Struthio camelus: one gene and its partners. The protein of the gene in region 4 interacts with the protein of the main gene of each other region in a pairwise test. Links are inferred from orthologs where the notes say so. Each region holds a gene or a part of one and is shown on either strand. Other genes may lie near its edges. The genes, in order: ABI3, REL, WASL and NCK2.

Region 1 (7,522 bases), on a different chromosome or scaffold from region 4:
GCCTGCGCCCAAAACCCGCTTGCTCACGGCAACACCTTGGCGGGCAGAAGCCCCCCCCACTCCCCCCCCCAAAAAGGAGCAGGGTGGCGCCGTGCCCCAGCGCAGCCCTCCCGGCACCGTCCCACCGCGGGGGGGGCCCGCGCCGGTACCTGGCCGATGCCAGCGAGGAGGTCGAGGAGGCTGCGGACAGTTTCCCTTCGGGGACCACAGGCGGCTGGATGGGCTCCGGGACGCGCAGTCCCCTCCTGCGGGCAGGGAGGGTGCTGAGCCCGGCCGGAGGTGCCGGCGGGGCAGGATGGGACCGAAAGGCAAAGCCGCCCTCCCCCCCCCCCCAAAATCCCGGCGCGTGGCCTCACCCCAGGGTGCCCGCGGCCGGCACGGCCGACTTGATCCCCTTCCGCGACAGGGTCCCCGTGCGGGACAGCTGGGTGCTGTGGTCCTGAGGGCGCAGGGCAGACACAGAGCGAGAGGAGCAACCAAGCGGTGAGGCCCGACGGGCTGCCGACCGACAAACTCATTGCACCGAGGCGCGCCTCCCCCCCCCCCAAACAAGGCTGCAATCCCCTCAAGCAACGCAATGCCCCCCCCTCCCGCCCGCCCCCCCGATCGCCCGCGGCCCCGGCAGGGTGCTGGGGGCTCCGGAGGAGCGTGGCCAGCCCCCGCGGCCCTGCCGGGGAGCACCCGGGCGCTCGCGGCCGAAGCGGCCGCCCACGGCGGCCTTGGCCCCGTGGGAACGGCGGCGGCAGCTTCCCCTCCGGCGGTCTCGCAACGGGAAGCGGCCGCCCGAGCTCGGCTGCCACCTGGCCCCGCGCCGCGTCCCCCCCCCCCTGACCCCCCTCCCCGGCCGACCTTCACGCCGTGCCCGACGTCGTCCAGGACGCCGAAGTTGAGGGGTTTCCTGTAGTAGGGCTCCAGGCTGGGCGGGTTGGCGGGAGCCGTGATCTTCTGCTGGCACGGCAACCTCTTGCCCACGGTCAAGGAGCCGATCTCGCGGCGGGACACCTTCTCCTTGTGCATGTCAACCATCTGCGGGGACCGGCACTGTCCCCCGCCGCAGCCCTGCTGGGTCCTCCCGACCCCCCCCCCAGCCATGGCCACCTCCAGGTCCCACCACCCCGTGGGTCCAGCCCTCCCCAAACAACGCGTAGCAGGGAAGGACCATCCCGGGGCAAAAGCTTAACGTGGGCTTGAGCCGCCGCTCGCTGGCCCAGCCGCAGCCCCGCCAGCGCCGCGGGGGCAGATCCGCTCTGCGGCAGCGGGGACCCACCACCGCGTCCCCCCCCCACCACCACCGCCGCCACCAGCAGCGCTGGCCCTTCCTAAAGCGGATGCGGCGGCCGGGCCGGAGAAGGGCACGGAGGCACGGGGCCGCGCGTCTCGGCCGCCTTTAATCCGTTTTCCTGCTGCTTCCGGAGCGGTAGGTCGGGATCCTTCCAACAGGAAAGCCTCCAGGCGACTTTCAAGTAACAGGAAGAGGGCGGGCGGCTGCAGGGCACCGCGCCGGCGGCCGCGGCTCCCGGAGGATGAGGCCGGGCCCCCGGGATGCCTGGGCGACCGAGCCAACATCCTTGACCCGGCGGGGACCTCGTGGCCGTGGTGGGGCTATTCCTGCAGGGCTGGACTTCCTGCTACTGCTCACACAGTGGTCTCCACCTCTACCGGCCTTCACAGACCCCCCCCCTTCCTTTCCTAGAGATCATCCCTTTTTCAGGGCCCAGGGACCCAACCCCAAGGCAACGAGGAGACAGCATCAGTCTGAGGAAATGGCCTAAGATGGCCCCACCTGGGCCACACAGCTGATGTCGGCCTCCACCCTCCGGAGCTGGGCCGCCTGGAGGTCCAGCATCTTGAGGAAGCTGGTGGCCAGGTTGCTGATCTGATAAGCCACGCTGGCCAAGGACTGGGTGCTGTAGGCCATGGTCTCCTCCAGCGCCTTCCTCTTGTCGCTCGCCTGGGAGACAAAAACACACCCTGGTATGACGACTCAACCAGTTGGCCAACGCCAACCCAGCTGGGCGGGGAGCTGAGAGGGTCCCCACGAGCTCCACGCAGCCTGGCTTAGCGCTCCCAAGGCGGCGGGGTGGCACCGTCCCCTCGCCAGCACACAGGCAGGGGAGCCCACCGGGCTCCGGCAAGCCACCCCGCCGCGGGCGGCGCTGGCGCTGCGGTCGGCCCCTGCCCGCCGGACGCGCGCCAGGGGGGCTCCCGCCGCCCAGCCCGGCTGGCGGGGGAGCTGGGGTTGACCCAACGTGACGCTGCAGGCCGGCTTCTCTTTCACACGGTACGAGGAGAAACCGTTTCCTTCTGCTTTCCGACCGCTCCCCGCCACCGAGCCGTCGCGCCGCCCTGCCACCCGGCGCCGTCGGGGGTCTTCTCGTCCGCCGGGCGGCTGGGCTTTAATTGCTCACGGGGCTGCGGCCATGCTGCAGACGTGGGCCGGGGCCCGGCCCCCAGGAACCCCCCCCGTCCCCAGCCCCGATGAGGCTGCTTTGCTGCCGCTGTGCGATTGGGGGGGGTCTGCACCCACGGTCCTCGCCGAGGGTCTCTCGGGAGGCACCGAAACCCCTCTGAGGCCAAGACAGCTTCTGCCTCGCCTCCGCTCCGCAGCTCAGCCCCCGGAGCGCAGCCCGGAGCGGAGCAGGGCAGCCGCCCTCCCAAGCAGAGGGGGGCAAGAGGGGAAACTGAGGCACGAGCCCAGCACATTCCCGGCGGCGAGCACCGCTCGGCGGGAAGCCAACGGGGAGACCCGAACCCCCCCCGCCGGTACCCGAGGGTGCATCGCATATCTGCCACCCCTGAGCCCCGCGTGCGCGGGGAGCAGCTCCCCGGCGGGCAGCCCCTCCGTGCCGCCCCCCACCCGGAGCCCCGCGCACCTGCACGTAGTTGCTCTCGCAGTAGTCGGCCACTTGGCCGAGGTTGCTGCGGTTGTCGCGCAGGAGCCGCCGGGCCGCCGGGATGTCGCGCTGCTGCAGCTGCTGCAGCTCGGCCATGCCGCCGGCCGCCGCTCGCCTGCCGCTTCCCTCTCCGGCGCGGTTTCGAAGCTGACGCCGGGGCGGCGCGGGCCCCGGGGGCGTGGGTGGGGGGAGCGGTGCGCGCCGCCCGGCCCGGCCGCCCGCCGCCGGCACCCTTCACATGGCGGCTGCCGGAGGGCGCAGCGGCCGAGCGCCCGGCGAGCGGTCGTCCCGCCGGCGCCTGCCGCGCGCTCCCGGCGCGGAAGGATGTGAGTCACGCTTCGCCGCGGCAGCCTGGGGAGCCCCCCCCCCCCCCGCCGGGGCCGCCGCCGAGCCGGCTCGCCTCCATCCCCGCATCCGTCGGCCCATCCCGGGCTGCCACCCGCGGGTGCTGGCCTGCGCCGGTGCCCGGGAGCACCCGAGAAGGGCCCTGCCCTGCCCTGCTCGTGCCGCCGCTGCAGCAGCAGGGGCAGGACCAGCGCTTCAAAGCCCCGCGCGTACTAGAAACTGATAGCTCCTCCTTATCACGCAGGCGAGCGAGGTACCCAAGGCTCCCGCTTCAACTCCCAGGCCTTGCTCACTGCCCCAAAAAAAAAGACCTCGGACCCCTCGCTGCGGGTCGCGCCGGCCGCCGGGGCCTCGCCGGGCGCAGAGGGGCGTTTGCAGCAGCCGCCGCGTCTTAGACCTCGGGCAGCCGAGCGAGGCGCGAGCAGCGCCCCCCCCCACGCCGCGCCCGGGGGCAGAGTTAAGGACGCGGCTGGGCCGACCCGGGCTGGGCACACAGGGGACGCGGCCCTCGGCCTGCCCCGAAACCCAGCTGCGCTCCTCTCCCCTCCCCACGCTCGGCGAGACGGGCTCCGGCTCCCGCGGGGGATGCTCCCGTCGCTCCCGAGCCGCAGCGCCGGCCGCGCTCGGGGGCTTCCCGCGTGCCCCCCGGCCGCCGTGCTCTGCTGCGCCCCTGCCTTGCGCCCCCAGCCTCGCCGCCGCCCCCCCCCCAGCACCCCGGCCTTCGAGGCTAATGCTCGACACCTGACCAGCTTATTCGCCTGAGTCTATTATCAGATTAGGGAGCAAAGACATCTGCTGCCTGGTGGCGGCTCGGAGACCTGAAGGAGTCTTCAAGCCCGGAGCAGGGCAGCGAGCGCCCGGAGGCTGATGCATCCCTAAACGCGTCCGTGTCGCAGAGCGGGAGACCCTCGTCCCCGCAGGTAAGGGGCTTCGCTTCCTCCAAGCGGGGAGGACGTCGCTGGTGCCTCTCGCTTGGCTCGGGAGTCACCTCCGCCATGGGCAGGTCGCGCCGCTGCTGCGGCTTTCGGCTCCTCCGCGAGAGCCTCCCGGTGCCGGTGTGCTGGCGGCACCCACCGCGAGCGGGGCACCCACTGGAGCAACCCGTCGGGGCCCTGGGGGCGCGCAGGCTCGACGCCTGCCAAAGCAACGCCAAGGCATCACAGCCGCGTTGCTCTCGAAAAGATCGCGGCTTTCAAACCCCGCTTTAACTTTTGACGCGGGACCGGTTCTTCCACCGCGCAGGGCGGCTGCCCCGGGGATCTCGCGCAGCCCGTGGGCAGGGTCTCTGCAAAGAGCGCGCGAAGCCCCGAAACCTCCTCCCGCAGCAAGCGCTGCGTTGCAAACAGCAACGCAGGGATGTAGTCCATGGTATTTACCTTGGAGGGTCCCATCCTTTTCCAAACTTGGCTTTAGCTAGAAAGTCTTTCTCCTCATCTGCGACGGTTTTATTTATTGAATTCCCGAAGTACATGTATTTCTTACAAATGCCAGGTGCAAGCAACACATCTATGTGCTTGCTACGAGCTAGTGGAAGGACTCTGGGTTGTTCCATCTCTACAGATGTTACAATAAGTGGTGCGAAAAGTGCACCCTCCCTCTCTTTTAGCTTCAACCCATTTACTCAGGGTCTACCCGTCTCGTAGCTGGGCCATTAACAGAGGCGGCGATATGGTTAGGGCCAAAGTGACGGGTCCGGCGTGCCTGGACCCGAGAAGCTCGTCTGTAAGCTAATAACAGGCCGTTTCTCTGCCGTCGCAGGGCAAAATGGCTCAGGATATGACAGAGAAGGAGCTGCTGAAGATGGAACTTGATCAGCTGAAAAAGGAGGTGAAGAATGAGAGGCAAATGGTAAGCATTTCCACCCAAGTTCCCCCCGGGGCTGCGGGTTTGCCAACGGAGGAGTTCGGCACGAGCGAGCTCTTCCGAGAAGCTGGGGCGATCCTACGAGAAGGACTCGGTCGCACTGGGCCACCGGGTCAGGTGTTCTCAGGGCTCCCCAAGGGTGCTGCGGGGGTACCCGCACCCCGCGCTGGGTGGCACGGGAGCGACGACAGGCGGCTGTAGGGTCGCGCTCCCGCCTGTTGCGCGAACGGGGATCTGCTCAGCCCACGAGTCGGATCGCTGTTCTGCGGTGACATTTTGTCCCTGTAACCTACGGGGAGCTTCTGCTCGGCAGATCTCCAAGACCGGCAAAGAGCTCAAGGAATACATCGAGTCCATGGCGGGAGAGGACCCGCTGTTGAAAGGTGTCCCCGAGGACAAGAACCCGTTCAAGGAGAAGGGCGGCTGTACGATAAGCTGACCCCGCCGCCGTCGGGGCCCGGGGCCCGGGGCCCTTCCCGCGACCCAGCCGAGACTGTAAGAAACCTGCTTTCCCTGTAGCCTGACCCCACACTGGGGAGGGGAGTCCAGACCCAAAATGTAGCACAGCTAAAGGATGACAAAAGAAAAAAAAAAAAGGCAAATTAAAAAAAAATAAAACTAAAACCAAACCCACAGACCCCGGAGATGAGGTTCAACAGCCAGAGCTATGGGTGCGTTTGTGCTCTCACAGCAGACTGAAGTTTCGTTTCCTGCAAGCAAAACTTCTGCAGTTTTAGCAGCCAGCAGCAAAACGGGGCTTTAACAAAACTGCAGGGCTGGAGCGCGTCCGGGCTTAGCCTTCTGCAAGCCACCAAAGCTGGAGCAGGCGCTGAGCCCCCTCCCCGCTCACTGGGACAGAGCGCCGCTTCCCCAGTGCAGCGCTTTTAGGTTGGGAAACTTCCCCAGGTCCCCGGGTATCGTCCCGGCAGGTGAACCAGGCTGCCCACTACAATCATTTGGGAAGAGCGATGATATTTCGGAGCCCCATCCTGTTCCCCCTTGAAGGCTCATTCTGCCTCAAGCACATCACCCCCAAAACAGCCATTCCCTTAGGACACGGCTGCCCCCTCCAAAGCGGGCAGGGGAGGGCAGAGCACCCGAGAGCTGGCAGCACCCCGGCGCGAGGGGCTCGCGGGACGGGCTGGCACCCACCCTGCCCCATCTCACGGCTCGACCCCACGGATGGCCCGGGGCACGGTGGGGGGATGTCACGGCACACAGGGCCCCTGGGAAAGAGCAAATCTCCAAGCTTCCTATTCGAAACTCTCACCGTTGCCGCTCAGTCTCACTTCCTCTGTGGGGAACCCCCGCCACCCCCAGCAGCCGTGGGAGCACAAGGCTGTCAGGTCCCGGTTGCGATAGCAGCAGCTCTGAGCGAGGGCTCAGCTTCAGCAGCAGCTCCATCTCCAACCACATCCTTCGCTGCACGCGGAGGTGGTGGAGAAGGGCCTGGGAAGGGTGAAGGGGCTGCAGAGCCCCAGCCCACGGTGGGGAGTGGAGACAGGGAGGAGCCGGTGGTTCAGGGGGCCGACGCAGGCACACTTCTGCCCCCACTTCTGCAGCTCAGCAGCTCCCGGGTATTAGGCAGGACTTGTCCAGAGGCCCAGCCCTGAGCCAGGGACGCTGGCAGCAATCCTGCTGCTCCCAAGAGCAGGTTGCAGCCCCCTGCTCGATAGACAAAGCACATCGGATGGGAACGCAGCCAGTTTCCACATTCAGTAGGACAATACTTAGTGACGCTTTAAGTTTTTGGGGTTTTTTTTTTTTAAATCTATTACACATGCATATTATCTTTAGGAAACCTCCCCAAAACAATCCCAGCTGATTAACTCCAAACAGCAGCAACTCTTTTTATTCCCCCAAGGCAGCACCCACCCCCGTCTCTGCTGCAGATCCCCCATCACGCTCCCGCTCCGTGGCAGGTCCGGCAGCACCGTGCCCCACCGCCGACTCCAGCCTGCCATCTCGCAGCAGCCATAGAGCACCAGGTTGACCCCCAGCCCCACCTCCCCAGGGCCCAAATTTCCTCTGCTTAGAGGCTACATACACACAGTGTCTGATTTAGACATAGCAGAGCTGAGGGCCACAAATTCAGGGCATGAACAAACCGTTCCCTTCTCCTGCGGGACAGGAGCCTTGGGAGGAGGTGGCAGCGTAGGTGTCACCTGCTGCATGCGCCTGCATTCGGGGGAGCACCCGTGCACCGCGGGGAGGCAAGGCGGCAGCCGCCGGGGCTTTGGGAGCACCGTAGAGACAGGGCTGGCACTAGTTTGAAGGTGAGCATATTGCTTTTGTTCCCATCTGGAGGTGCCTTAATGAGCGGTGCAGTCCCGCTTGGCACAGTCCCTCCGGGAAGCCCGTGGAGCAGGGGAGACCCGCAGCAGCCACTGGGGTCAGGCCCAAGGACGCCCCGAAGCTGC
Region 2 (7,773 bases), on a different chromosome or scaffold from region 4:
TGGTTAATTCCTATATATCCTGATAACCCATGGGTTAAAATAAATAAATAAAGGTAGTCAAAACACCAATTACATACCGTGCTTGAGTGGTCTTTGATTTTCTTGTTACTCTTTAGGTCTTTCTTTTTCAAGAATATCAATTTATTTAAATACAGTTTTTGCCTGTGGTGGTGTAAAGATTTTTTTAAAAACAAAATCTTATTGTTGTGAGCTACGTGTGTGTCCTACCGCTATGCTTGGTTGTGATGTCCTGCTGCATGCCTCCCTTTACAGTGTCTGTGCCCCCCAATTTGCTTGTGCCCCAATTTGTTACTGGCCCCCGCGCAGCGGGTGTATCTGATCCACGCTGCGGGGTGGGCAGTCCTTCCCACCCGGTTAATGTTTTGCTAGATTTGACCTAGGGCCAAGTTCTGAGATTCGTGTCTGATCTGGATCGGAAATGCTCCGAAAGTTAGTTACGTTTTAAGTTGAGGGTTGTGATTTAACAAGCTTTTTCTCATACTAGTTTTTAGTTACCTTCATTTTTATCCCCAGTATGTGTAGCTTTCTGGTACCGGTGGCAGCATGTGCCTGCTCGGTGCCAGGGACCTGAGGAGAACAGGGATCGTGAGGGGGCTTGGTGCCTGGAGGCCAGGGACGCTGGGAAAGCAGAGTTAGAGGATGGTGTGAGGACACTGGAAAAGCGGGGGGCGATCCTGGCCGCAGGAGCGGTGCGCCGCACGCGGAAGGCTCCTGGCGAGGGGGTGCGGGCCCAAAGGGGGGCGAAGGGCATGTGCCAGCTCGCGGGGTCCCGGGCTCTCGGCCTCAGGTAAAGCACCCCGGTAAACGGGATGGGACGTCCTCCTCCTTTTCCCTGCCGGGTGCCCAGACTGAGAGGGAGGCAGAGACGAAGCTTTCAGGGTGGCTTTTAACTGCCGCGGGAAGCTGCCGGGGCTCAGCAGCCTTCGGGCCGTTCGCCCAAGCGGACGGGCGCTCTCGGCGCTCAGCGGGGGCCGGGCCGGGCCGCTCCGCTGGCCCCCCCGGCGGCGAAGCTCGAGCGCGGGGGCGGCCCGGCCCGGCCCGGCCCCGCTCCGCCCGCCGCCCTGGGGCGTTTCCGCCGCCGCCACCCCGCGGGCGGGGCGGGCAGCGGGGAAATCCCCCCCCCTCCCCCGCGCCGGGAGGCGGAGGCAGCGCGGGGGGCCGGGCCGGGCCGCGCCGCCCCCCGCCGAGGTGGCGGCCCGGGCGGGGAGCCCCGCGGCGGCAGTCGGCCCGAGCGGCTGCGCGGAGCTGTCAGCATGGCCGGTGAGTGCGGGGCGGCGGCGGCGGCGGGCGGGCGGGCGCCCCTGCTCGGGCAGCGAGGGGCCGGCGTCTGCGCGGCGCTGCCCGGGGGGGCCCCGGCCCCTCGCTGCCGCCACCCCCGCCGTCGATCAAGGCGGCAGGGCAGTCGGGGCGGGGGGCGGCCGGGTGACCGTGCTCTTCGCCCCTCACCCCAGCGTCGGCTTTGGGCCTTAAATCCTTGCCCGCCGAGCTTGTTAAGTGGGCTTAAGGGGAAAAGGTTACGGAATAAAGGTCTCGGGGCTGTCCGGATTTTAAATCCGAGTCTTTTAAATCTTAAAGCGCGTCGCTGAAACGTTGAGGCGTTAAGTAAGCAGGTCTCAGGCCTGGGGCGGACGGACGGACAGACATCAGTGGGCCAGGGACTCCTCGATGCTCGGCTGGAGCCTCTTCACAGGGGAACTTGCTCCTGAGAGTGCGAGTGGAGAAGGAGCAGAGATGGTCTAGACGCAAAGTGACGTAGATAAGGGAGCTCGTTAAGTTTGAGTAATTACATCAAAAAGCACCATTAAGTTTCTTTAGTCTAAATTGAACTGCATCTTTAAAAAAAGGAGTTCTCTGGCATCGTTCTTTGGGATTAAAAAAATCTGTTTCAGACTCGACAGTGTTAGTTACAGTGGTGTTTTTAGGGAAAGACGCTCTCCAGCCTCCGAGTTAATGTGTGTGTTCTCTTGTCTCTTACCAACGTATAAACTTTGTGCTCTTGATACGCGTGTAGATGCTCACTATCAATTGAGAAATAAAATTAGTGGGTTTGTATGGAGGGTATCTTATAAAGGTTACATATATGTGTGTGTGTGTGTATTTTTATAATGGCTAAACTGAAGCAGAAGGTAGCACTTTTTTCTTATCTCTAATATATTTTCAATGTAATTAGGAACTAGATAAGGAATTTTTCAGCGGGGGAAGTTCTTAACTTCCTGGTACTAGCAGCTATTGTAGCTGGGTTTTGGTGTGTTTTTTTTTTTTTTTTGGTTGCTATTCTGTAATGTCACACGATAACAAAGAGGAAGTTCATGAGCAGTTCTGTCTCTGTTTGACTCTGCACAGTTTATGAAGTCCTAGGTAGGTTACTGCTTTCTAAAATATATATGTGTTTACACTTTGGGTTATTTTAGATGGAGCCAGAATGTTCTTCAGCAAATCTTGTACCATGGTGTTTTTTGCCTGAGCTACTGCAGGAGGTTGTAAGTGTTTAGATTGCTCTCACTTTTTGGAAATGGCTTTTGCTTTGGAGTATACAGAGTCACCAGAGTTCTGCACAGAACAATAGTACTGGAGTTAAAGGGCAGCACTTTTCCCATCTGTGTCTTACTGCACTTACCTCAAACCTGATGTTTTTGGGTGATGTATTCACATCTTCCTCAAAGGTCGTGTTCGAGTTGGTCTTGTGGCCCACGCCTACTTTGCTTGCATACTCAGATATTGCACAAGAATACGTTCACAGGTATTCCATGCAAGAAAACTACAAATTATGTGGTCCTTCCAGAGCCTGTTTCGTTTGAGCAAAGCAACAAGAGGAAACATGAATCCACCGTCTAGTTGTCCCTCTACCTGGTGGCATTTTGTCTTCCTCCAATCTCACCACACCTCTAAACGTCCTCATCCCAAAGGTCCAACTAAGTCTCCTCCACTGCCTCAGGAATTCTGCTTTATGGATACAGACCCTCATTTTAAGATGAATACTTTGCCTATTCCTCTTGCCTTGCCTGCAACACGCGTTCCAGGGTAAAAAGACTTAGTCTTTGATAACTCTTCAGCAGGCATGTTTAAAGAAGTTGCTTCTGAATGGAGGAGTAGGAGATAGGTAGGAAGCCTTTATTTATGTCCTTTAGTTTTAATCCTAATGGCTTAGAGGGTGTTAGACTTTAAACTGTCCCAGGTTTCTTGTCTTGGGGAGGTCTGATGGTCTGTTTTGATTTTTTTGGATGATTGTCCTTTTGTACCTTTTTGGATTGCTCCTACAGTTCAGAATATAACAGCCTTTTGTTCTTGAACGAGTGTAAGCTGGCTAAACTCTCAGTGCTGTTACCTTTTTTCCTTGCTTGTGTAATTGGGACACTTGATCTCCTGCATTTCCTTTTAAATTATTTACTGGAGCACTGATGGGGGGGGCAACAATTTTACAATGAAAAGAGGCAGTTTGTAATATGTAGCGTAATATTTCTACTGCTGGTACGTGCATAGGCAATTATAATCACAAACGCAGATGAAACTCTAAAGCTCTGTCTCCTTAAATGAAGGGTTAGCTAGATTTTTGTTTTGCTTCCATTTCAAACCCTTGGCTGAGTAGATGCGGGCAAATAGGTAATATAAGGAGCCTTACGTTTCTCTTACAGGATTGGTGGAAGAGTGTCAATTTTTGACATAGCTCATATTTCTTTGACAAACAAAACAAGATCTCAAAAGGACAGTTCTCCAGCAACTGTGTGTGTGTGTGTGTAGATTATGAAATAATTAAACAGTGCCACTTCACAAGTACATTGCTTATTTACAGAAATAGGGAACACTGAACAGACCTCCACTTCACTGCAGAGTGCTGATAATACCTTTAGTTCACGCAACCACTTTTATGTGTTTCCTCTCTACACAAGACATGATGACACTGATAAATAATTGTGGTGGAGATAATAACATGATTCTTAAATAGAGAGAGTGAGAACCAAGATAAAACGAAGTTTAATATTTAATCTCTGGAGGCTACCGCGTCACTGAGCTTAACTTTCCCACAAACACACCTGCTGTTAAGCGGTGGGTTTGCCTTCAATGACATTTGTTTCGACCGCAGTCCCCTAAAGATCATTGAGCCCAGAGTTCTAAAATACTCAAGTGCTCTTAACGGGTGAGAAAAAAAAGTCCTCTTAAGCGAGTATTAGTAAGTAGAGCGTGAAGGGAAATCATTGGTTAAAGCAGAGAGAGTTAAAGACTTGAAATTATTGTGTACTATAGCAATTTCACACAGCAAGGCTCTAGCTAGTTTTGACAGATACGTAAGGTATGTGGGTGTGTTGTGGGTCTGTTTAGCAGCTATGCAAGCATGTGTCTGTCTCCAAAGAAAGAAGATTATTAGGCACTTTACTCCAGTTTTGTCACCGTAACATCTAAAATAGATTTTTAATTTAATATATAGATATATGTCTGTATTTGTGATACGCTGTGTTATCTAGGGATGGAAAAGTGAGATTCTTTTCTCTCCTCGCTTACGTGATGGAGATGGGAGGCTAATGAATACCCAACAGTCACTCTTCTTATTGTCCACTGGACCGACCTGATATATGTGTTAGCATAAGTAAGTTTTACGTGTGAAAGTTGCATAGTCGTACACTGATGTGTGGGCTTGACTTTGTGAGGAGCTGAGGCATCTGATTGCTCTCTGCAGCCAGCTTTGCACGAATTCTAGGCTTTTTTGTTAATACTGTCCATCCATCCTCACCCTTTGCTGGATTTGCTTGTTTTCCAGAAGGAGAAAATATGAAAACTTATCTGAAGGATCTGAGAGGCACACGTAAAATTGCCCATCCTTGTGAGTAACTGGGGCTAGAGTAGTGGCTGAGATGTGTTTAATGTGACAGCGCAGGGTCTGTCTTCCGAAACTGACTTAAAATCTACTGGATGGAAGGTGATCAGTTTTGTTATTGCCATTTTGATAAAAGGTTAGAAAGCAACGTGAAACTGTCGTTCTCAGATTTTGCCACCAAATACAGCCTGAAGTTGAAATGCAGTTTGCCCTTCAAAAGGCATTCAGCTGACGGACTTTGGAAAGGCGGGTAGTGTTGAAGGCAGTGCCAGCATCAGAGCTCCTTTCATGTGCTGCCATTCCATAGCGGTCTGTAAATGTCTTCAAGTAAAACATACATACAAGTAAGAGCAAGGTGACAAGTTGTGTTCTTCTGATCGTGTAACACCATGATGATTCAACTTCTACAATATTTACTTTCCCTCTGTTATTTGTTTTTCACATGCCATCCCACTGTTGTCACTGTTTGACTGACTATCCTGTTGGCTGTTCTCAGTGAGATATGTTCGATACCTTGAATATATTGGCTGTCAGTAAAACATTACTTTAAAATAGCGAAACTCATGCTAAGTCAAAAGTCTTTCTAAACCTTTCATTAAAAACAGCTGCTGTCTCTCATTCTTGTCTGTCACATTTCCTGAAAAGCCTCTTTTGACAACTGCCCAGTAGTCTTTACTAAGATGTTTTCTGTGTATGGGGGATCCTGCAACCAGAAGCTAGCCCTGTGGGAAGTGGGCAGGTCAAACTGCAGTACCAGCAATCGTGTATTTTCTGAGACCCTCAGTGATGGTACTCAACCAGTAGCAGTGGGTGTGGGGGGGTTCTGTATTTTTTTTTCTGTTTTTTTTTCTTTCATAATTTGCATAGTTTCTGCTTCACTATAATGGGAACTAAATCAATCGATTCTGAGGAAATATCTTTACTTTCAGAGGCTATTCAAGAGAACATACTACTGACAGTACCTGTACTTTGAGAGGACAACCATTCCTAAAAGTGTATTGTAATTAAAAAATATCAACTGTTCCCTTGAAATAATGATTTTTTTTCTTCTGTTGTATAAAATCCTCTTTTATCAGACATAATTTCTTTTAGCTATTAGAGAATTTAAGTTCCAGGGGAGATGGGAGGGAGGGCAGAATCCTCTGCTGATTATTTACATGGCATTGATACCTGGACACTTCATTTTAAATCTGCTGTCCCCTCCTTACCCCTCACCTTTGGTTGCGTGTATACACATTGAAAGAAGAGTTGATTGTCTGACAAGGTAGACCAAATGAAATAAAGGTAATAATCAATAAAAGCATCTGGATTTTCTAATTCTTATGTAGCAGCTAACCATGTAGCTTGCCTTCTGCTGCTTTTTAGTCTCTACTACTAGCATTGAAAGTGTTTCATTTTTTTTTTAAAGGTGGCCCTGAACCCTACATTGAAATATTTGAACAACCCAGGCAAAGGGGAATGCGTTTCAGATACAAATGTGAGGGAAGATCAGCAGGCAGCATTCCAGGAGAACACAGTACAGAAAACAATAAGACGTTCCCTTCCATACAGGTAATACTACTTTTATCCAGGATTATCATTGCCCACATTAGCATTGTACTGTAGCTATGCGTTTGATTTGATGCAGTAAATAAAGAGGATGTTCCTCATTTCATGCTGTGCCAGTCTTTCCTGGGCATCCAAATGTAGTTGAAACAGATTGGAAAAGGAGTTCTTTGCTGCTGGTCATTAAAGATTTTGCTCCACATTTAGCAGAACAGAAGATGATGTACAGGTAGGTAACAAAGCACCAGTACAGAGGGAACTCAAAGTAATGTTACTCAGTGTTGGAGAATCATTTGTTTTTAGCTTTTTCTGTATGTTCGCATGTTCTGCTTTCTTAGTTTTGTGCCTTGGGTTTAATTTAACTGTTTTGGACTGTAATGTGAATTTTGGGAGGGCTCTGAAGGAGGCTGTCCGTGTACAGATTTTGAAAAGGCCAGTCTCACTGCTGGTGCAGCATGAAAGAAAGTACTCTGTAGAAAGGAGTAAAGTAAGAAAGTGACTTGCAGCCAGTGATTCAGTGATTAGTTTCTGCAACAGAAACTACCGTGAAGTATATGAAGTCAGAAGGGGATACAGAATTTAAAAAGGAGCTGAGAAAGGGGAATTATGTGGTCAGAGCACCTGCGGGTGAAGAAGAGCTGGGTGGTTGCATTAAGGATAGGTTGGGAAATCCAGAATGAAGGGATTCAGGCTAGTCCTGGCAGCTATGATCAAAGCAGAGACAAAGGTATGGACAGCGGAGGTGGATGGAAGTGTTTTGGAGATGTTGTGAAAGTTAACTGCCAATCTTGCTGTTGTTTCCTTTACATGTGGGACAAAGGAATGTGTCTGGGAAGTCCTAGATGGGTAGGGTAATACAGAAGAGTTTTTCTGGTTTGCTATTTGAAGTTTTAAGTTGATAGGTTTTCCTTTATCTCTTACAATCTGGAGAGAATCTTTGAGAGTTGCGATAAGAACAGAAAGTTCAAGTATAAAAGGGAAGTCATCAGTATTTGCAATCTTGAAGTATATTATGGTCCTCAGGAATGGAAGCTGTGCGTCTGTGTGTCTGCAGTGTGTGAGAGTGTGGAAAGAATGGAGCTAAAGATGGAGTCTTTGGAATTGCAGCAGAGAGAGAGATACAGGGGAGGTGAAGTCTGAAAGATATGGGATGTTCTAAGCTGAGGCATAAAAGCCTCAGCCTCCTCCTTGAGAAGGGGAGAGTTTGAGAACGATGGTATTGGCAACGGGTGTGCTGAGCAGCAGAGTGAGCTACTACGCAGAGCGACCAGGCTGGCCTAACCCTGAAGCCAGAATCGCTAAAGGAACAAGCAAGTAAGAAGGCAACCCCTTGGCTAGCGTAGTGCCAGAGCTGGTGAAGGAATAAGGGAAACTATGGAAATCTTGCTCAATTGTTC
Region 3 (7,645 bases), about 130 Mb from region 4:
GTAATATTTACTGTCTAAAGCTTCAATAATGACTAATTCCAAACATGGATATTACTAAAATATCAAATATAATGTTATAGTAAAGAACAAACAAACAAACAAAAAAATAGCATAGCACACTGACACTGAGTTGTACTCAAATTAGAAGATCAACGGTATACAGAGTACCATACAGCTCTGTCAGACTTGATGGATTCAAATTGGAAAGTCGAAGCTGTTATCATCCCCAGGTACCTATCCACTGCTGTCCCTGGGATAGAGGTGTTCAATTTGTTCACAAAGTAGTTTCTGAATTGCCACAATTTTGCCTCAGCATGCTAAAGAAAGCCAAGAAGTCTAGAGTACTATCTTTGATAGTCTTCTGGACCCAAGTCCTCAAGCATATGATATAGACCCTCAATTACAGTAAGATGCCTGACCTTAAGCTAGAAAACATATAGGGCAGGAGAAGAAGGGTAAAGGGGGTGGCCATAATTAAAAAAAAATAATAAAAAGAAATTCTCAGTTAGAAAGTCATTCAAGATTCAGACTAAATGGCAAGAATGTGTAGTCTCAAAAAAAAACCAAAAAACAAAAAAACCCTGTATCTATAAAGCTATCAACATGTCACAAACCACACATCATCCAGACACTATGAAGTTGTTTACCTTGAGGCCGGTTTAACTTATCCCCATAAATAACACATTTCAAAAACTTAAGATGAGCGTTACAGCTGAGCATACATAACAAAAACAGACACATTCCCTTGACAAGAAAATCTAAGCCACAGAAAAAACAACTGGAAATCAACTGAAGCACACAAATTCATGTGCTTCCTTTTAATATAGACAACAGTTTACTTTTTTTCTTGTAATGGAATGAAATGCATGAAATGTGTGCCTGAAAGTAATTCAAGTAGTGAGATAAAGGTGTTTCTTACAAATGTATTACTTTTTAGCATAAGTCTCTTTTTACATATTTCACAATCACGCTTTCTGACCCATCTGAAAATGGCAGCAACTTAATTATGATAACCTCATGTTACTTAACTCACCCCAATGCAAACATCACCCATTTCCTGTTCGGTTATATCTCTTTCCTTCCTTGCAACAACCGGTTTGATCAACAGCACCATTTCAAAGTCCACAGGGTTATGTATTATGATGACACCGATATCCTGCTTTAAAATAGTGCCACAAGAAGGTGTAGGTGCCTAACGTTGCTGTTCTAGGCACTGGACGTGAAGTATCAGAAAACATCAGGATAGCATCATTTAAAATGGCTTCAAAAAGATAATTTGAAAAATGATAAGTCCTTTAGGAAAAAATATATGCAGTTAACTCCTGAAGCTCTGAAAATTATATTAAAACTATACTTCATAACTACATTATATTAATAGGCAAGAAGCTATTCAAGAAACTAAGAACTTACTGATGAACTTGGGAACACATCTACTACACCTTTCCCCCCCCCCACCCCTTTTTTAATCTTGATATCGCATTTCTTTTTTGACAGGGAGTAACGCAGTATTGAAGTTGCAGCTAAAGATGCAAGCCTGTTGATCAGGCTAACAAAAGCACAGGCTACATCCAAGGCAGGCCTAGTACCCACACGAGCCTTCCTCCAACTTTGTCAGTATTGCTTTGTTGTACCACAGGTGCAACCGGGACTCATGTCAGCCTCGTCAGGCAATTAAACTCTTCCACCGAGTGCTGCTGCAGCAGCTCCATGGCTGCCCCGTCCCCTCGGCCAAACCGCAGGCTGGTCGCGGGGCAGAGGCGAGGGGGCTCGCCGCCGCCGCCCCCCGCAGGACAGGCCGGGCAGGCGCTGGGCACGGCTGCCGGCGCCGCTCCAGAGGGCCGCCCGGAGAAACGGCCGGCGCCGAGCGGCCCCGCGCAGCCCGCGGCGGCGCCAGGCCCGGAGCGGCCCAGCCCGGCGCCCCCGCAGCGCGCACGGCTCCCGCACGGGCAGGGGGCCGGGCCGGGCCCGGCGCGGCGCAGCGCTTGCGGGAAGCGGCCCCCTCTGGCCGCGGCAGCGCGGGCGAGGCCCCGCCACCTGCGGGCGGCGCGGCCTCCCCTTCCCTCCTCTCCTCTCCCCTGCCGGCGGCGGCGGCAGCGCCACGCTCGCCTCATTCATTGCCGCCCGCAGCCCTCCTCCTCCTCCGCCTCCTCCGCCGCCGGCCCCGCGCGAGGCCGCAGCTCCTGGGCCAGGCGGGCGCGGAGGCCGGGCCTGCAGCGCCGTCCCCCGCCCGGGCGCCGGCGACGCGGAAGGCGGCTGGGCCGGGGAGAAACTTCCGGGCTGGGAGCCGCGTACGGGCCGGCCAGGCGAGGCGAGGCGAGGGCGGACAAGGTCCCGGACGCGGTCCCCCGCCTGTCCTCACACGGCCCCGGCCCCGGGCCGGGCCCGGTCCCCCCCCCGCCGCGCCGCTCCCCGCGGGGCTCACCACGCATTTCTTGCCGAGGAAGGTGAAGAGGCTCTCGTTCTCCTGCGGGGTCAGCAGCAGGGAGCCCACGTTGCTGACCCGCCGCGGCTGCGGGGGCTGCTGCTGCTGCTGGCTGCCGCTCATGGCCGGCGCCGGCGCCGGCCCCGCGGGGCTCGGCACTGCCCTCGCCGCGCTGCGACCGTCGGCGCCCGCGGCCGCCCCCTCCTCCTCGTCCTGCTCCTGGCCGCCGCGGCCTCACGGCAGCCGCATCGCGGAGCCTCCCTCTCGGGGCCGGGGAAGGCGGGAGGGGGCGGGGGGAGAGCGGCGGCCGGGCCTCGGCGAGCTGCCGGCGGCCCGCGGGGGAGGGGAGGGGAGAGAGGAGGCGTCGGGCCGCCCCGCCGCCGCCGGCGGATCGCGCCCACCCCCGCGGCGGCCACTAAACTTCCAACTTCGGCCCGGCTCCGGCGGCCGCACAATCCAACATGGCAGCGGGGGCGGGCGAGACCACAGCGCGCGGCAGCCAGAGGGGAGGCCGGCGAGCGCGCTGCTGCCGCCGCCGCCGCCGCTACCATGCGCGGTGCGGGGACCCGCCGCCTGCCGTCCCGTCCCGTCCCGTCCCGCCCTGCTCCGCCCCGCCCCGGCCGGCAGCCCCTGGGCGGGCCGCGCTGGCTCACGCAGCTGGCGGGGGCCGCCCCGCGCCCTCCCCCCTCAATACCTGCCGGGCCGGCTCGGCTCGGCGGCTGCTGGCGGAGGGGGCCGGGGCCGGGGCCGGGGCCGGGGCCGGGGCCGGGGCCGGGAGGAGCGCGCCCGGCCGCTGGGCCCGGAGCGGAATCCAGGCTGGCGGCGAGGCGGCGGCCGGGCCGGACGGGGAGCGGTGGCGGGGGCTGAGGCGGCGAGGTAGCCGCCGCTGCCCACCCGTGTGAGGAAAACGTGTCAGAAAAATTCGGGCCCGTACTCAAAAGTCACCCGGAACGGGACAGGGCATAAAAAGCGTTCGTGGTGAAACCCCCCCCCTCCGCCGTTGTCGTTTTTGCTTAAGTTCGTTACCAACGTGAGCGCGCAGTGTGGTTGGCTTCGTGCAGTGCTTTGAGGATGGAGGTGATGAAGAGCGTGTTAGAAGGCCAGGGTTGAATTCCTGTTAAATTTTTAGTCAAATGTGAGTTAATTTATAACTCAAAAATCCTTTGAATGTTTGTTATTGAAAGGAAAATGTTTCCTGATGGCTTATCTGGCAAATCATCCAGTCAGTTTTGCTGTTCCAAGCTGTGTTGCGCGGGGTGGGTAATTCCTGCAGCCTTTGCTGCGCAGAGGCAGCTCCTCCGTGCTCGGTCACACAGAGACGTAGGAGGGGGTGTGCGAGACTCTACCCTCCTAAACACAGGCTTTTGCAGTCTGAGGTAAAATAGCAAGTAGAAATAGTAGCAGGTACTTAGGCTTTCCAGGGGGTCAGCGCAGAGGAGCTGCGTACGCAGTCGGTATGCTTTGCCAGCTAGGTTTCTGTTCCCTCTGCCTCTCTCCGTGCAGTAGTTGCTAGCCAGGATGGAGCTGAAGACCTTTCCAAGCCCTGCAGTCCAGAGCACAGCTGCCCGCTGCCCAGGCCGACTTGCAGCTCCGCAGGAGAAGTGCTCATGCTCCTCCCAGTATGAAGGTGAAAGCCAGATGTCCAAGTGAGCACCCTGCTAGTTCTCTCAGTATTTTTAAGCGAAGAATAGGTTGACTTCATCCTCTCTGATAAATTTGTTGTGCATCTGGAAAATGCCAAACCAGTCTTCCTGTGATGATTTACTTTGTATTAAAAAAAAAAAAAAAACAAGCACAGGAGGAGAACGTGTGAGCACAAATCTTGGTACGCAGTTGTGCTGACTTTCCTTCACATCTTCCAAAAGATCAGGCGGGAACAAATGGCAAACCCTTCTGCACTGCTTCTAGGCCCTTTTCCCCTTACTTAAAAGAGCCTGTAACAGTGTTTGAAAGTGTGAGGAAGGGGAAATGTATGGGGGAAAATCCTGAGCCTCCAGTACAAAAGGTTAAAATAAAGGCATATACAGCATTCCTCAATGTGCAGATGTCATGTAAGTGGCTAGGGCCTTTGTTATAAAGGAAAAACACTGAATAGGACCCAAATGCTTACAACATACATTTCAGCAATAATAGGTTATTATTCAGTTTTAATTCCTTTTCCGTGTAAGTGTATCCAGACTTAGAATGTATTTTAGTGGAAAGGGAAATATTTTAGTTGAAGTGTATTAGAATTTTGGCAGCATTTCGTTCATTGAGAACGTATGTGAAAAGATAACAGATATGAACTACTTTACAAGGCACTTGTTTTTTGTTTCATAAAGCAATGAGTTATTTTATAGCCAAAACCCTTTCCAAGGAAATGTATGTACTTGTATTGGTGGTCACAATGTAAATAGCTGAATTAAAAATATGGTAGGCCTCTGATAGGTACTTTCCTCACCTTGACCCGTTAAGTTTAGTGATGTTTTTCTCATTTTTGTTCATGTTAACTGTTTATTCCTTGTTGTATGGATCTTTGCATCCAGATAAAGTTTTATTGTTACTGGTGATACTTTTTGCTTCATAGTGAGTGTTCTTCTCAGACCAGCTGGCCAGTAGCTATTCTTAAGGGCCCTTTAACCAGACTCTGTTGTTAGGATTTTGTTTGCTTTTTTTACTAAGGGTAGACAGGAAGGGGGGGGTGGGAAGGGGGGACTATTTTCAACTGCTGTGTTTCATTAATTATGCAAAAGCCATTTCTGTTTTTATATCATGGCAAAAGAGTGAGTCCTGAAGTGAAATGGAAATATCAATAGTTGGTCGTAAGTCCAAGGGACCCACTGAAAAATAGATTTTTGCCTTTGATATTTACATTAGCAGTAATACCAGCAAAGAGCTGCTATTTCTGCGTAACACATCCAATTTCAAGGAAAGTTCTTTTAAGCAAAGCCACAAACCAGAATTACCTGGCTATCTTTGAAAGAAATTGCAGTGTTCTGGCTGACCTGTCTTAGAGAAATTGCTGTCCTTTATCATAGGCTTTGCTCTGAATTTCTCACTGTAGTCCCTAAGGTTGAAACTGCGTTGCCCACTGCTGACTCCTACAAGCTTTGCGGCAGCCTGATGCTCATTTGTATTTTTCTTTCAAAATTGTTAAAATACCAGCTCATAGTCCCAAGGTACTGAGCTACGTTGAAAGTGACATACATCTATTGATATAAGCAAGTGTAATGATTTTAAAGGTTTATATTGTAAACAACTATTTAATAAACAATTATTATCCTTGTCAAACATACCTTTGACAGAAATATATGTCTCTGAATTCTACCCTTACATATGGACGTCTACATTTTTCAACAGTTTGTCACAAGCACAAGTTGAATACTATAACTATTCTGAAGTCGCGTGCTTTGAATTTCAGAATTTACGTATTTATACAATTTCAGAAATAAAATTCTGCAATTGAAAATAATAAAAGCAAAAAAGAGAGGAAAGCATTCTACCTAAGGTTGATCTTTCTAGCACTGTGAATCATAGCATATTTTAAAGGTTTTGTGAGGGTCACATTCTAAAACATAACAATTAATTATCTAAATGAAAGAGATGAAATGTTTCCACTCGGAAGCAGTTCACCAAGGATTTTGTCTGTTTATTTTTAGTAGTGGCACTGCATTTTCCAAGTCTTGATTTTGTCCCAGTACTGAATTTAGGTCACGCAGTCTTTGGTGGTTGATTACACGAAGAATAAGCAGGCTTAAAGAGGAATGAAGATCTCAATAGGAAAAAAATATTGTCGTCTCTCTTCCATTTTATATTCAATGAGAAGTGGAACAGCATAGTACAAGTGCCTACATCGTTGCAGTGACCACATAAATATGGCTGGGGGGAGAAGAGAAGTAAGAATGTATGATTACTGTCACCACGTTTAAGGGGTATGTCAACAGGATAGTAAAAGTCTGGGCAAAAGGAAAGAAGACCTTGTTTCCTTGAGCACCCTTTTTGGTTGTGCCTGTAGAGTTCGCTGGTCCATTTACTGCAAAACCACTTGTGGTAACCAAAAAAAAGGAACTCTCATTGTGGTTGAAAATAATGTTTGATTTGTGAAGATACAAGTTCCCTTTTTTAAGTAAACCACTTTTTTTTTTTCTCTCAACATAGAACTCATCTAAGAGAATTGGTTTCAGATTGTTACTGAATCAATATAAATAGCATATTAGTTATTATACTGAAAAGAAGTTCATTCGCTTCTGCTCTCTGTGCACTGAACCTTTAAGTGCTTAAGAATCTCAGCCTACTCTGGAAGTAACTGAATCATCTGTTAATTTATGGTTAGTTTCAGATGCAGTTACTGTATTTCCTTTCTCACAGAGATTTTATATTTGATTATTTGTTCAGGAGTGGGGGGAGGGAATAGTCTGGAATAAACAGAGCCAGGAGTCTATATTTGTTTTTTTTCCTATTTATTGAATTTATATACTAAACATTTCAGGCACGGAAGGACATGAAGTAGCCACAGAAGTTGCAAAGTTGGCAGTTAAGTTTTATTTTAATCATCCAGCAAAGCCTCTGATAATTCCTTATGCGTATGAACCTGTAGGGTTAGTAGGAAGAATCGTTTCCTTTTGTGGGCCAGCCACGCAGAAGAGCGTCCTTGCCACTGGAATGAGCAGGCTAAAGCCTGAGAACCGACATAGCAGGACAGTAAGTTCTTTCATTCATTGCATAAATGCTGCCTTGGGTACTAGCTAGAATTTTTCTTTCCCTGTATTGCCTGTTACTCATTTCTTTCTGGTTGCTGTATCCTTTCTTCTCATTTTCAATATCGGACTGTTGACTTTAAGGTGAAGGAGAAGAATTTGTGTCCTTCCGTCCTGCTTACCAAAGGATAACATTGATTTTGCTTTGGATGAAGAATCATATTTTGGATATACTGGTGCAAGGTTTCGGCGGTATTGTTTTAACTGTGAAATCAGTCAGGGGGAGACCTAGCTCTTTTCAAGAGCTCCTTTCTGCTTCCTTCATTGGACTGTATTATCCTCCTTTTCAGGGCTGTGGAGAAGACAGACCAAAACACATACTAGTATCTGAAACATCCTATCTCTCCTCTTAATAATTCTCTGTTATACAGGTATGCTGATCGCTGGCTGCAGAAACTGTGGCACATTTCTGTAGCCGCTCTGCAAATCAGAGGAAAACATTTTTCTTTCCCAAGCTTAGCTAGAATCTATCCTTGCATCAAAGCTC
Region 4 (7,804 bases):
GAGGATACAAAAAAACAAGGGATGGAAAAAAAGGAGACTGCTGACCTTGTTCCTCCTCTTTAGCAGACATTAGTTGTGAGATGACACGTAAGATAGCAAATACCTTTCCTTACACTCTCACACAGCTAGCCAGGAAACTATAGAAGAAAATAGTGTGAGGAGGGAAAACGGACAGTAAGTTCCCTTTTCATTGCAGTAACAAGCCAAGGGCTGGAGTTTCAAATTAATCAGATATTCGGTAGTGCGAACACAATGCAGGCGACCATGCAGAGTTCTGCTGTTATTATTGGAAACATATAGAAAAGGAGATTTTGTATAACGTTGTATCATAACAACAACTGGAAATAGCATCTACTATAGGTAAAAAGCCAATGTAACAGCTAACATTGCAATGAGAGAACAATTACAGCCTACAGAAAATATTTTAACATAGGCCATGAAACAGATAATTACAGTCTGGACTGGTACAAGTGCCTTCTATCTCTACATTTATTCACAGTTCCCAAAAGTGACATCCTCTGTCAAAGTTTCAAGAAGACAAAGTTATAAAGACAAAACAATCTCTCCTTGGGGTAACAAAGCTTAAGATGTTATTACTTGGGTCCGACAGAAGATTTCAATTTCCAGAGTTTTAAGAACAGTATTTCTAAGAAGCAAAGTCATTTTACGTTAGAAGTTACAATCCTCAAAACAAAAACGCAGTAGCATTAACATTATCTACATGGTGCTGCCTGCTTAGGATCCCTAAAAAGCAGTGGTAGAACTAGCACTTTTGAAAAGAAGTTCTTAATAAGCTCCCACCCGGTAAGCCCTTTCAAATTCCTCCATATTAAGTCACCAGGCCAAACTCTCAGTGATATAAACCATGCGTGGTCAGGCCATGCAGATTTGTTTTTATAAGGGCATTACCATGTTTCATGAAAGAGACCTCTAATTCTCCTACATTAAGCAGTTACAAGAGTAGGCTCTCAGAAACAAGTGTTGCTTCAGAGCAAGTAAAAGAAACTGAATCCAGTCAGAGGAGCAATGCTTTAAATCTGTGCTGAGCTTTAATTAGCGTTCAAGTTTTAACCTAACAAACAAACAGGACGATTTGGAGTTAAACTACTTTTGGTTCACAGTATAGCTCTAATAAACACAGAAGGCCATATGCACTATAAAAAAAAACTAGTGGGAGATCTTAGCATACAAACTACAGTACAGAGGCACACATGATTCGGGTCACAAGTCAAACCTGAATTACAAGGCCAAATCCTCATCTGACAACTTTAACTGAGGTGGGCCACTGTACCCAACCTGCCAGCAAAGGTAGCTGTTTGTGTGGTCACACTGTCAATTAAAAACAGGGTAAAAAGATTTATAAACGCAAATATTTTTCCTCTCAATAGCCCCAGAGAGGTGGTACGTTTTGAACAAACGGTGTAATTTACCTATGTTGTGCTGCTGCAGCTTTTTGTCGTTTACCTACGTTAACATCAGTGTCGACTGATGTGGCGTATTATACCAATGTTCACTCTATCCCTCAGAAAAAAAGCGGAGGGGGAGAAAGGGAAGGCTTAGATCTATTAAAGCTGAAAGTAACCAGTGGAATGGGGGGCAGGGGGAGAAAGCAACGACAGTATAGCGGTACAGTTACCAGAATATTCCCACCCTGCAGGGGGTAAAGCTCGTTTGTTTCCAGTATTTTGTTCCGAACAGTGTCAGGCGCTGGGTTTCCCTTATTTAACTAATGGAAACGACCTACCGCTTTTAAAGCACTTATACGGCCCACTCCCCCGGACCGAGCCGCCGCCGCAGCAGCTTTTGGACACAGAGCACTTTTGTCCATGCCCTGAATACCAGGGATAATTCTCCAGAAAACTTTTTTTTTTTTTTTTAAACGCTTTTGACGGTGGTGCCGGTGCTACCCGGCTGCCCTCCTCCCAAGAGGGCTCGCGTAATGAAAAAGGAAAAAAAATAAAACAAAAGAAAATAAAAAGGAAGGAGGAAAAAAAGAAAAGGGCATTTCCCCTAGATTTACCCATGCCCAACGCGAGCTCACGGGCGAAGCCAACTTTATTTGTCGGCGGAGGTTATTCCGTGCCAATCTCTAGGCGAGTATTTTTATTTATCTCCCTAATCTTTGCCCTCGGGTAGCAGCCACCCCGGGCCGGGCCGGGCCGGGCCGGAGCGGAGCCCCGCGGGGGCGGCCCTGACACCCCCTTCCCCCCCGCAGAGGGGGGCGCCCCGGCCCTCAGCCAGGACGGCGGGTGACACAAAGCGGCGGCTGTCACACACAAACACACACAGGCCAACTCGGCGAGGATGAGGAGGAGGAGGAGGAGCCGCCTCTGCTCCTCCATTTCCCCCCCCCACACACACACAACGCCCGCGGCTGGACGTGGCACAGAAAACGCCCCCCCGCCCCCCCCCCCGCGGCAGGTAAATCCCCCCCACACACACACACACCCCGGGAGGAGGAGGGGGGGGGCCGCGAGCTCCCTCCCCCCCCGCCCCACCTCGCCCTGCCAACGGCCGCTCCCACCCCCCTCCTCCACCCCCGCCCCCCCCCCCCCCCCCGCTCCGGCCGCCCCAACGGCCCGCGGCGGCCACCACAACTTTGCGGCGGGTCCCGTCGCGCCCTGCCCTGCCCGCGGCCGCGCTTACCTCGGCCGGCGGGCGGGCAGCGGGGCGCTTAGTAATGGCAGCGGCGGGGAGGCTCCCAGCCCAGGCGGGCTCCGCTTCTTTGTCTCGGCGGCGGCGGCGATGCCTGCCTGCCTGCCTGCCCGCTCGCTCACCCCTTTCCTTCCCTCTTCCCTTCCGCGGGCGGATGCGGGCTGCGTCCTCCGAGAGGGGCCGGCTTCCCTCCCCCCCCCCTTTTCCCCTTCCTCTTCCTCCACCGCGCAGCGCCGCTCCGCGCCGGACGCGTCCAAGGCCCCGGCCCTCAGCGGCGGCTCCGCTCCTGCCTTCCCTCAGCCTGCTGCGCCCGGCGGCAGCGGCGGCGGCGGCAGCATCGGCCCCTCCCCCGCCGCCCCCCCCCCCCGACACAGCCCCCGCCCCCGCCCTGCCCTTCCTGCCGCTGCCGCTGCCGGGATGGCGCGGGAGGAGCTCCCTGAACTCTTGCCTCGCACCCCGGGAGCGCTGCCGCCGCCCGCCCCGGCCCTCCCGCGCCTCCCCGCCGCCGCCGCTGCTGCTGCGGGCCGGGGGCTTCCCGCTGGGCGGGGCCCTGCGCCCGCCGCGGAAACGGTCTCCCCTCGTATCCCCCAAACCCACCATCCCCTCCCCCATTTCCCGACACCTCAGGAAACCCGGCATCCCCAGTGAAAATCCCCCTCGGCAGGCAGCGGAAGCGCTGGGGAAAGTACCGGCGGGAGGCTTAAAGGAAACGGGGGGGGGGGGGCAGAGGGCAGCGCCGGGAAGGAGCCGCCGGGGCCGCGCTCGCCGGACCGGGGTACCGAACCGGCGACCCGCGGGGAACTTTCCGCCTTGGCATCAGGGCGCCCCCGCCGCCCATTGGCCGAGGGCCGTGACGTCACCGCGGGGCCCGCCGCGGGGCGCGGAGCGGGGCGCGGAGCGGTGCGCGGCCTCCGCCGCCGGTGTTGCCGTGCGCCTCGCGGCCCCTCTCCTGCTGCCGCTGATTTTTATTTTTATTTTTCTTAACCTCTTTCTGCCCCGCTGTAAACTTCCCAGCCTTCCCTCCCGCTTTAATCCGCGGGGCTCGCTTGCCTGCCCGGCGGGAGCTGGAGGTGCTCTGCGGACAAGGGCGCTCCTGCTGCCTGCCGACTTCTGCAGCCGCTTGGTTTTTCTCTTGAAACGCCACCGCGTGCAGTGGGGATGGCGCGGGCAGCGCCGGAAGAATTTTCCACGAGTGGCCAAAGAAGGATTTTCCCACAAATGGTTAAAGAAGACCAAAAAGAGAGGGGGGGAGGAAAAAAAAGCAGTCTTTGAGAATGAAATCTGTCGTGGAAAGGATCAACCCTCTTCGTGTGGCTGCCAGTCGCAGCAAGTTGTGGTGTAGGGGACAGTTTCTGCCCTGCCTCCAGGAACTGGGCTTCCTCTTCTCACAGGCAATCCTCTGGCAGGGTCCCCTCTAGGGGAAGGGAAACGTTTGTCCTTGTGGAGGGAACTGGAGAGTTTAGAAAAGAAAATCAATGTTGCAAGAGGAAGTCACTTTGAAACAGCCTGAAACTTGCAAACAATTAACCAGCTTCCACACATGCCTGCTCTGGAGAAGAGGCTTGTGCCTTGCCAGGGCTGGTTTAGTCTTTCTTCAGGTCATTTTTCCTGGCTTTGGAGGCAATAATATGCAATGCCACTTTTTCTAAACGCGGAGTAAATTCAGCAGTCCCCAAGAGCACTGTCTTATTTTCGCTGACCAAGGGAAAAATAGTGGGCAGAACTCAGCGCACAGATGTTTAGTGCTGAAACATTCCGGTATACATGTAAAAAAAAACCTTACTTCTTCTGAGGTTTTTTTGTGTTCCTTAACAGTTTATAAGCCTTTGAATAATTCCCTCTTCCTCTTTTTAACTTTTACTTATTCCTGCAACGTTTAATTGATGGTTTCAGATGTCCTAGTTGCCTTTCACGTGCCTGTTAGATAAAACTGAAAGAAAAATGCGGTCCCTTGTTTCCTCCGAGGAAGACTTTGCATGCCCCTCAGGGAAGAGCAGAAAGCCCCTTTCCTTTCAAGTCTTTTGCTGCACACGTTTGACTCTGATTCTGAGAAGTGTTAATCTCCCTTTCTGAGCAATAATCGGACAACGCTTTTTTTAGCCTGAGAAAATATTTGGGGTCCCAGGAATAGAAATTAAGATTGTGCTGTGCTCCCACTTCATGCAGATGAAGGCTGCATCGCTGCGGGCTGAGGCCTTGCTCGAGCCTCCCTTAAGGCTGGAGCCTGCGAGTGCGAACTCTGAATTTGAATGGGAGTGGTTGCTCAAGGATTTTCAGAAATAAGTCTCTGTGGTTCCCGGAGCAAAACGCACTGCGGGTAGCAGTAATGGAAAGCTGAATTATCCCTGCTCTAGTTTACATTTGTAATATACAGTTAGTTTCCAATTTCAGTTTTGTCCCATCTTGCCCCTCCCTGCTAACTTGGCTGTATAGAAATCTTCTGCTTCATTGTTTTTTTCTGCTGCGCTGTTGTGCTGAGGATGCACAGAGGAAGATGACATGACTACAAAGAGTACACAATCTAAATTAGATCTCTGAAAGGGTTCAGAAACATAAGACACCAAATGATCAGTCGATCTCAAAGCTTTCTAGGTGTCTGAAAAAATTAAAAAGCGCACCTAGCTGTAGCAGATTACTGCTAATAGGATTTATAGAAGAAGAATGTTTTAAAGAGGGATTTAAATGAACACATTGTCTTCATGCAAAGGACTAATTTAAGGACCCTGAAGCTTATTGTTGTTAAATATATTTAATTATTTTAAGGAATGAGCCATTAAAGATGGTTTTCCAAACTGTGGCTTATGACAAAGAAAAGATACTGTAAAAAGGGTTTGGAATGGTATTTTGAAAGGTATTTTAACAGCCTGTCTACTGAAAGTATCCTTCTGTTTCGCCAGCAAAAAGACTAACATGCTGCTTTGACTAGTATTTCAAAATGTTGAGCCTACTGAAATATTAATGTACACATTTTGAAATATCATAATTAACTGTTATCTCTAGAATAACTGTTACTTAAAAGATCTGAATCAGAATTAAATTCTGAATGTGAGAAGATGATAAATTTGGGGGAATCTGCACAGAAGTGAAAGCAATACATGATGTAGAGGGCACAGTATTTTGTATAAAGAAAGTAAATATGCAAAGTATACACTTTTGCATATGCATAAGAGTGGTGCAGTCCTTAGAAAATATATACACTGGAGAGAACAGCATGAATATTTCTCTCAGCCTAAGGCTATAACTGGATAGTAAAAATAAAGGAGAAAATGGTTAGGCAGTGGAAAGCTCTCTCTTCATCTTTGTTAAAGAAGCAGTCAGCTGTGTACTCCTGCCTAGAATAGGGTTACAGTCAAACAACAAAGCTAAAGGTTGTGTGACAGATTTACTCCATGATTGCATAGTGGCAGTCAGTTCATCTTGATACTCATAACTTGTACAAGAGGTTGAAAATTTGTATTTATCTTTCCTGTTTATCTTTACCTTTCTTTTTTTATGACTCCCCATTTTCTGTTTCATATGTAATGCTACCTGTGCTTTACCACGCGCCCGGAGGAGCGGTCGGTTGCTCATGGAAGGCAATGCAGCCGCCGTCTCTGCCACAGGTTGCAGCCTTACACATCTGAGAAATGCTAATACATTTGCACCTCACAGTGGCTAGGCCACGATTGCCACCTCTGAGGTGGGACTCCTTCCCCGTTCTGCACAAATACCTTATCCTTTGTCTAGATACTTCTGTCTTTCTTTCTTTTTTTTTCGCCAGCAGCTCTGTCTAGCATATGAATTAATACAGGCTGCCTTAGGCCAGTGTGAGAAGGAGGGTCTGGAACATCCTTCTAAATTCTGGAAGACAGCATTGTCCAGCTCAGAGACTGACAGTGAAGATACTTCGTATCTCCATGTCAGCGCATTGGAGAGAAAATATTCCTAAATCTAAACTCATTTATTTTGAAAATTGTTATTCCTGCTTCTCAAAACTGCTTTTTAAAGGAGATGATGTTATAATAAACTCCATTCATTTATGTGGGGTTGTAATTCTATGCCACTAAGAAAACGAAGAGATAAGGGAAGTACTAGATACGCTGGAAAAAATAACATACCTTTTAATTCTTTCTCATCTGAAAAAAAAAGTTCATCTTAAAAACAACTTTCAGAAAATTTCCCAACTTGTGATTAAGTTAATTTAAAAATGTTGAAAGCAATGTTAACGTGCGTTTTCTCCCCCCAGTCTGGTTCTTAAATGGTATGCATTCCCACATGTCATATAGGTTCTGCTTAAAGCATATGCTTGATTCCCATGTACACAAAGGGGAATTACATGACCGCTACGAGGGGAGAATACATCTCAAATACTCAATTAGTTACTGCTGAGTCACTTAAGTATATTTGCACAATGATTCTAATTCAGCCTGACAGTAACACAGCTGCTTTTCTCACTTGCTGCATGACTGCTGCATCTTCAATGACATTTACAAAGAACATTGAGGGGAAGAACGTGTCCTTAGAGCTCAAAATGCATCCAAATTCTCCTATTCAACGGACCAAAGCTACCCAAAGGTGCTGTAAAACTGCGAGCTAAATCTATCAGCAGATCACATTGTATTATGATAAATTCTATCGTAATCTTTTGTAGACAGTTGCTAAGGTTCAGTGTATTTCTGTAAGGAAAACAAACCCGTGTTTTGGGCTTTGGAAATGTCAGGGCCCTTGATTCTCCTGCTTATTTGAAAGTGAAAGTGTGCTGAGGGATGTCTTTTGAAGTCTATTCAAAGGTTAAAACTGATCTTTCGTACAGTTTTGAAATTCAGAATATTGCTGCTGAATGGCTTGACTGCAGCACAGTCTCGATTTTAGATTTAAACGCCAGATACCTGACCGGAGCCCGTGGCAGCGCCGCCCTGCAGCTCGGAACGAGCAGCGCAGAATAGCAAGAAGAGGGTAATTTATGCTGGCAAAATATAATTGCCCACACTGGAGCTTGCTCAGGACTGCAAGCTAATATTCTCCTCTCATGGGGAAAAACACACAGGGAGAGGCAACTTAAGAGAAGCAGGGTGGGTTTTCAGTTATGCAGAGATCCGGTAGGTGACACAGCTGCAGAAGCAGTAGACCCTCCACTAAATTAGACCACATACGCCCAGGGAACCACACA

The links.
Region 1: the proteins of NCK2 (region 4) and ABI3 interact in binary tests that used the Homo sapiens proteins (3 or more experiments, as listed by UniProt). The two-hybrid records come from large-scale screens. The link is inferred for Struthio camelus from reciprocal best matches to the Homo sapiens genes NCK2 and ABI3.
Region 2: the proteins of NCK2 (region 4) and REL interact in binary tests that used the Homo sapiens proteins (3 or more experiments, as listed by UniProt). The two-hybrid records come from large-scale screens. The link is inferred for Struthio camelus from reciprocal best matches to the Homo sapiens genes NCK2 and REL.
Region 3: the proteins of NCK2 (region 4) and WASL interact in binary tests that used the Homo sapiens proteins (3 or more experiments, as listed by UniProt). The two-hybrid records come from large-scale screens. The link is inferred for Struthio camelus from reciprocal best matches to the Homo sapiens genes NCK2 and WASL.

Annotation. Positions count from the first base shown.
Region 1 is NC_090966.1:5,218,404-5,225,925, forward strand, and holds the start of ABI3 (ABI gene family member 3), read right to left. Parts: upstream 3,009-7,522; 5' UTR 2,991-3,008; coding exon 2,874-2,990; intron 1,952-2,873; coding exon 1,784-1,951; intron 1,027-1,783; coding exon 850-1,026; intron 440-849; coding exon 357-439; intron 246-356; coding exon 150-245; intron 1-149. UniProt on the Homo sapiens protein: May inhibit tumor metastasis. In vitro, reduces cell motility.
Region 2 is NC_090944.1:131,632,775-131,640,547, reverse strand, and holds the start of REL (proto-oncogene c-Rel), read left to right. Parts: upstream 1-4,770; 5' UTR 4,771-4,785; coding exon 4,786-4,837; intron 4,838-6,239; coding exon 6,240-6,382; intron 6,383-7,773. UniProt on the Homo sapiens protein: Proto-oncogene that may play a role in differentiation and lymphopoiesis.
Region 3 is NC_090942.1:24,923,028-24,930,672, reverse strand, and holds the start of WASL (actin nucleation-promoting factor WASL), read right to left. Parts: upstream 3,016-7,645; 5' UTR 2,546-3,015; coding exon 2,423-2,545; intron 1,257-2,422; exon of another isoform or gene 1,115-1,256; coding exon of another isoform or gene 1,034-1,114; intron 1-1,033. UniProt on the Homo sapiens protein: Regulates actin polymerization by stimulating the actin-nucleating activity of the Arp2/3 complex. Involved in various processes, such as mitosis and cytokinesis, via its role in the regulation of actin polymerization.
Region 4 is NC_090942.1:154,295,165-154,302,968, reverse strand, and holds the start of NCK2 (cytoplasmic protein NCK2), read right to left. Parts: upstream 3,010-7,804; 5' UTR 2,647-3,009; intron 1-2,646. UniProt on the Homo sapiens protein: Adapter protein which associates with tyrosine-phosphorylated growth factor receptors or their cellular substrates. Maintains low levels of EIF2S1 phosphorylation by promoting its dephosphorylation by PP1.